Linked DNA regions of Cricetulus griseus. The protein of the gene in region 1 interacts with the protein of each later gene in a pairwise test. Links are inferred from orthologs where the notes say so. Each region holds a gene or a part of one and is shown on either strand. Other genes may lie near its edges.

Region 1 (3,830 bases):
TCCATGTGCGCGCGCGCGTGCGCGCGCACAGACACACAGACACACAGACACACAGACACACAGACACACACACACACACACACACACACACACACACACACACACACACTTTAAAAAACAAGCAAACAAACAAACAAGTCTGTGGAAGCCAGGCTAGCACACACTTATATTTCCAGCACTTGGGTAGCAGAGGTAGGAGGATCAGAAGTTTAAGGTCATTTTTGGCTATATAGGGGGTTGACTACAAAGACCCTGTCTCAAAAATGTAAAGCCCATAAAGACAGGCAAAGGACAGGAGTGATAGCTAAGTAGTCAGTGGTAAAGTGCTTGCTGTGCACTGTGAGTGAGGACCTGAGTTCAGATTCCTAGCAGTCACATAAAAAGCTGAGTGCAGTGGCATGTGCCAGTAACCCAGCCTTGGCTCAATGGCCAGCGTTGTGGAACTGGTAAGCTTCAAATTCAATTTAGACCCTGTCTAAAACCTAAAAATTAAGGTGGAGAGTAGCTGAGGAAAACACCTAAATTCAAACTCTGGTCTCCACAAGCATATGCATGAAAGGGGACACACCTGCATGTGCGTGCGTGCGTGCGTGCGTGCGTGCGTGTGTGTGTGTGTGTGCTCGTGCCCGTGTATGTGTACACACTTTTTTAAATGCATACTTTTTAAAATGAATAATTGTATTACATAATTTGTAAAAAGTAAATTTATTTATTTTATGTGTATGAATGCTTTGCCTGCCATGTAATGTATGCATCATGTGCCTGCCTGGTGCCCATAGGTTTCAGAAAAGGGTGTCAGAATCCCTGGAATTGGAGTTACAGACAGTGTGAGCCACCATGTGGGTGCTGGGACTTGGGTCCTCTGAAAGAGCAGCCAGTGCTCTTAACTGCTAAGCCATCTCTCTGAAGCACTATTGTAATTTTGATTTCAGTTCCAGTGCTGGGAAAAAAACAAAGACTTGTATTTGGGTTAAAAAGAATGTACTATCAACCTCTCTCTTCCTCTCCCTCAGGTTGGCACTGAATTGGCCAGGGATGACACTGAACTCCTAACACTCCTGCCTCTACCTTCCAGATGTTGGAATGATAAGAAGCATCTTCTCTCCCAGACTAACCATGGGGGGGGGGGGCAGTACGTGAGCACACACATGTAGAAGCCAGTGGTTAACATCTGCTGTCTTCCTAAATTGCTTTTCATTTTTTTGAAACAGTTTCTCTCTGCCTCCTTAGTGCGGAATTACAGGCACACACTGCCATGCCTGGCTGTCTAACTGGGTGGTGGGGATCCTAGTTCAGGTCCTTACATCTGTGCAGCAAGCTCGTCACCAACTGAGCGTCTCCCTATCCACTACCTCATTTTAAAACGTTGTGTGTCTAGGAGTGACTGTTTTTACTCAATTGAGAAAACTTTTACAATTTTTGAAACTTTTAAAAATCGACCTAAAATATACAAAAGATACATTTAGTTTTGTGTGTATGTGTATCAGGTGTATGTGTGGTATATGTGGTGTATATGCACACATATATGAGTATACAATTACTCACAGAGGCCAAACTCAAATACCAGGTGTTCTCTTCACTGTCCACCTTGTTTTTATTTAAAGCAGGTATGTCACTGAACCTGGAGCTCATTCCCTGATCTAGCCCCATCAGCTGGGCTGGCAGAGTACAAGCTCCAGTGATCCTCCTGTGCTGAGGTTACAGGCACATGGGGGATCACACCCATCTTTAAAACAAAACAAAAAACCATGGTGCTGGGATCTGAACTTTGGTTCTCTTGATTGTGAAGAAAGCACTCATAACTGCTAAGCCACCTCTCCTTCAACCGTTTTTTTTTTTTTTTTTTTTTTTTTTTTTTTTTTTTTTTTTTTTTGCCTAGGCCAGGTGGGCCTTGAACTTACTACACAGCCAGAGGTGAATTCGAATTCATGATTTTCCTGCTTCCACTTCTCTTTGTGCTGGAGCTACAGCACTTTATACATAAGTTTTAAAAATCAGGAGGTAAGTAAACAGTAAGATCTAAGCCAGATGCAGTAGTTCATGCCAATAGTTCCAGATACCCAGGATGCTGAAGCAGGAGGGTCAAGTGAACCCACAAGTTCAGGGTCCCTCAGGCAAAAATAGCAAAATTTGCTAAAATTAAAAAGTTAAACCTCTTTGTAGGAAACAGAGTCCAACCTTGGCAGAGTACTCTTGGACCTGACATGTGCCCTAAACACCAGGGCACACGAAATACAACAGGACTGAGAAACTGACCTCATCACTGATGAGCACATGGATTCCTGTTGGCCCTTGCTTGTAAATCTGGCTGATCTGATGAGGAGAAATACTGAAAAGCTGGGCAATTTTTTCTGTTAATTCAACAGCAGTCAGTTCTTCTAGATAGATAGCATGGTACACTGCAAAAGAAGGTCCAGCAGTCATTCAGAGGCTGTCTGCATCTGCAGGTGATCAGCTCATGCTGTAGACTCACAATCACACAGCCTGGCTTCAGGGCCTGCTCAGATACAGTTTTTCAATGTGAACTGGGGAAAGCTACTCAACAAACCTAGTCCTTTCCCTGTTCTAAAGACTGGAGAGCAGACAATCTACAGCACTATTTAAAAATTCAAGTATATATAAAGTATTGGTAATAGCACATGGCATAAGTTAAGAGCTGAATAAATGTGAGCAATTGCCATTACTTGTAGAACTCAATGCTGAACTGGTCTGAACTCCCATCACACCCGCCCATGAGTCTTCTCTTCTCCTTTCTTCCTACCTGTCCTAGTCTGCCCAGAACAACCTACCGAAGAAAGTACCATTTGAATCTCCATCTTCCTGCTTCTGTTGTGGAGGCTGCTGCTGCTGCTGTTGCTGTTCCCTCAGCTGCACCGATTCCTGACAGACATAAATGGTTAGCCTTGGTCGCACCATCCTGTGTGGGAAGAAAAGGGATGGTCATTTTTACAATGTTTTCCCATGGTAAGCACATCCACAGGTAGTGTTTGTCCCTCCATCGCTGGAGAGAGCAGAGATGAAATCTATTAATGTTACTTGTTTCCTATCTCTCAGTGGTGGGCTTTGTTGTTTAAGCTGATTGGCTCCAACAGGAGGCACCATTTAAGCTTCTAAACTCTGCTTTCCCTGAAAAGTTATATGTGGGGCCAGGACTAGGGCTCAGTAGTAGACTGTTAGCCTGGTATGCTTAAATCCCCAGGTTCCATTCTCAGCACTGAAAAGGGAAGGGTTAGAAGAGGAGAAGTAGGGAGAGAGGGGCAGAGAACACTAATGCTAGCTTAGAACTGGTAAGTCAGGGTCCTCATTCTCCCAAGATCTCTTCACTAAACCCTGAATTTGACTGTTGGTCCTTTACATGACCATGGAGCAACTGTAGTCAATGGAGTTTGTGAGATTTGGAGTTATGGTTAGAAACGTTCAAAATGTAAGAGGTACTGCTTAATATAAGGGTCAGGTTCTAGATATGCTGTTTACTTAAAAATACTAATAGGTAGTGAGCAAGATGTCTCAGCTAACAAAGCTCCTGCCACTTGAGTTTAATCCCTGAGAACCACATGACGGGAGGAAATGACTCTTGCACATTGTCCTCTGATCTTCATATGACCCCAGACACCCCCTCCCCTGCCACATACACAAAAAGGAAGGAAGGGAGGGAGGGAGGGAGGGAGGGAGGGAAGGAGGGGAAGAAGGAAGGAAGGAAGGAAGGAAGGAAGGAAGGAAGGAAGGAAGGAAGGAAGGAAGGAAGGAAGGAAGGAAGGCTGGCAAAGTAAAGTGGAAGATCTGATCTCCCTCAGTGCCTGCCCCTGAGCAGCCTACCAGTCTGCTTACTC
Region 2 (3,394 bases), about 260 Mb from region 1:
TATTTTTCATGTGGGTTCTTCAGAATGAACTCAGGTTTTTGTACTTGAGTGGCAAGAACTTTACTGGCTGACCAATCATCCCAGCCCCTTTCAGTTTTCAAACACAGAATATCCAGACAAACTGATCAGTTATAATGGCAGGAAAGCAATGGCCTTGGTAATGGAGAAAGAATGGGATGCCAGAATACATGGGATGGATACATTATTCACACAGATGAAGCCAGTGTTGGGCTAACATAAAAACCCTAAATCTGGAGGCCATCTTAAGTCAAATAGATGAGTCAGAGTTTCATGCCTGGCTGCTCTTAGCTTACATTTCAGGCCAAAAAAAAAAAAAAAAAAAAAAAAAAAAAAAAAAAAACTCAAGTAAGTCATTTAAGATTTATGACTGTGAATGGAGGAGAAACCTAATGGTTTTAATAAAATGCACAATAGACAAAAAGAAAGAGATAAAGTCATTTTATTGGTTCAATTAAAATGGAGAGAGGAGAAAGAGAACAAATCCCTTAATTATAATTATCTTATGAAACATTCCACAAAAGAAGATGATTTAAGCACAAGCACATGTTTAAAGATTATAATGGGCAAGTTTATAGATTCTTTGCAATAAGCATCAGGAATTAAAACTTTTTTTTTTTAGTTCTGCGGATTAAATTTGCAGGTTTGCTCTCTTACTAGCACTGAAATAATTTTGTTTCTAAAAAGTGATCACGATACTGGGTGATGTCTGCAGAGGGGCCGAGTACTGATCCAGGACTCCTCCTTGCTGGGCCTCAAAATGAGGCTGTCACTGTTCTGCCCTTCAGGGGCTGGGTTGGACGGTGGTTGGTCAGAATAGGAACAGCCGCCTCTCCCTCTGCATTTGATAGAACACTTCGGAGCTGTGCCAGCTGTGGGGAGAGACATTTAAAGGATGAAAAGCTGTTAAAGTCCCAGAAAGCACTTTGTTTCCAGAGAACTTAATGCTCTGTTGCTTAGAAAGCAGTTGAGGATAGTGGCGATTTTCTTAGTGGGCGGGAAGTGGTTGCACTCATTTTTCTGCCTCTGCAAAGGTATTTTGCCTAAATGAGGCATAGCTGGCTCTCTGTAAGAATACCAGCTTTCTCTTTGTTAGCTGGGGAGATTGTATAAGTGATATGTCATGCCAGCACCCCTTAATTTCATATAGCATCTCCTTTGGGTGGCTGTTGTTAAGATTAAATGCTTTAATCCATGCAAAGGGCCCATAGTTGGGTTGGGTGTACAAAACATCAATTAACATGGGGTACAATATTGTGAGAAACACAAGACATCTCAGGAAAGTAGCTGTTCCTTCAGCCATCAGCAACATCTTTAGAAACAATAAGCAAGAAGGTACTTTGTGACATATTTTAGGACTTTAGCTAGAAAATCCGAAACTATTTGACCAACTGTTCAGTAAGGCCCAGTGAGGGCACGATAGAAGTTCCAAGGAAAAGTTCACTGTTCCTGACATTGGAAGAAACCACCTAACAAGTGTTGGCTTTTCTTTATGAAGAACAGCAGAAATTTGGAACCTCATGCATTTATTTATGCACACAGTAGGAACAGTTATTGCATGGACTTTTGTTTTTTATTTTTGAAAACTTGGGATCCTTCACTAAAAGCAAATCCATTTCAGTTGGTACCTGTTCGGGGCTGACACTGATGCTCTCCTTGCAGATGAACCAGGTGACACTCTCATGAAGAGGAGGGTGAGTCAGAGAGCCAAAGTAAGTCCAGTAATCCAGGGATGAAGGAAGGAGACAGGATGGGTCAAAATTTGTGAATGGGGCTCGTTTCCCCTGGGAACAAAAGCAGTATATGTCATGCTATAAAATGCATCAATGTATTCCCCCTTATATATTACCTAGATATATTAGGTGCATTAAAAATTTCTACTATACTTGCTTTATGACAGGTATGTTTTTGAATATGAACAATAAAAAGGATGTAAACATACTATATGGAAGTTTTGGACATTAAATCTTCCTTTTATTTTGGTGGATAAGAAGAAAATCCTAAAAACTTTTCTGTAACTTGTATTTATCAAAAGAACTTAATATTCATTAGGAAACATTTAAATATCTTTGGATAATGCTCTACCCTGTGCTAGGGGCAACGGCATTCATGAGACCACAATTGCATTTACTCTTATTTATTCCCATGAATTTTTCAGATTTTATAAAGAAAATGAACAGATATTTGTATGGTAATTTTTTGTGCAACCAGTTTTAGCAGACTTTGTATCAATTTCATTTTTCAGTTGATTTTTTAAAGTTTTCCAGGTAAACACAGTTAACATATCATCAATACATGGTGATAATTTTGTTTTTGCTTTCCCAGTACTTAGCTTTTTATTTTGTTCTTTAATTGTGTAATGGTTAAAATTTTAATTACGATGTTAATTGTTCTTTTTCTTGATTACAGTAGAACAACTTCAGTTGGAGAAGCTGATGATGGGAATTTTCATATTTAATCCCATAATACAATGCTTCTACTCAAAGATGTTCTTACACTAAACCATCCACATCTAGAATGAACTCTACTTGTTCAAAAATATGACTTTATCAATATGCTATTGTAAGTGATTTGGTATAATTATTTTATATATTGATTTTCATAATTATTTTGTTTTTTTTGTTTTGTTCATGGCAAATCTGTTGAGCCATCTACCTCACTTGATTGTTTCTTAAAGGCTGAATAAATTTTCTTATAAATTAGACTGGGCATGGAATTCTGTTTAATAGATATATGTTCACTGTCTTTTCAAATTATTCTTAGAGTTTTGGTCTATTTGGTTTTTCTTTTGGTTCATTTTTATAATTTGTGTTTTCTTGAATGTCACTCATTTTATCTGACTTTTCAAATTTATTGATACACTGTTGTATTGATTCAAAAATTTTCTTCCTCATTTATACTATATTTTCTAAGCTTTGAATACAGTTTCTTACACTTACTAATGAATTAACGTATGCATTTCTCTGTAGGCATATGTGTGTGAATGCACTGTGGAGGTCACTGGACAACCTGCAGGAGGAAGTTCTTTCTTTCCATTAGGTCAGCTTCAGCGGTTCAAGCAATCACCTTTACCTGCTGAGCCATCTTGCTAGTCCCTCTAATAGTGTTTGGTATTTATGCCAGTTTTCCTTTACCAAAGCTGCCCAAATCATTCTTTTTTGCTGCTGTTTATTCAATAGAATAAAATTTTCATTAATTGATAAAATAGTGTTTTGTATTTATCTGTCATTTTACTATTTTCTGCTTTTATCCTCACTATTTCCTTCTAGTTTTATTTCTATATAATTTTGACACTCGGGTAGAGTTTAAAAATATTCCATCTCTCACTTTACAATATGCTTACTCAAAGTTCTTTTCTGAACTCAGCATAAAACAA

What was found.
Region 2: the proteins of Tfcp2 (region 1) and Ca1 interact in binary tests that used the Homo sapiens proteins (3 or more experiments, as listed by UniProt). The two-hybrid records come from large-scale screens. The link is inferred for Cricetulus griseus from reciprocal best matches to the Homo sapiens genes TFCP2 and CA1.

Annotation. Positions count from the first base shown.
Region 1 is NC_048595.1:396,972,729-396,976,558, forward strand, and holds part of Tfcp2 (alpha-globin transcription factor CP2), read right to left. Parts: intron 2,918-3,830; coding exon 2,790-2,917; intron 2,400-2,789; coding exon 2,257-2,399; intron 1-2,256.
Region 2 is NC_048595.1:134,344,292-134,347,685, reverse strand, and holds the end of Ca1 (carbonic anhydrase 1), read right to left. Parts: intron 1,803-3,394; coding exon 1,647-1,802; intron 891-1,646; coding exon 774-890; downstream 1-773. UniProt on the Homo sapiens protein: Catalyzes the reversible hydration of carbon dioxide. Can hydrate cyanamide to urea.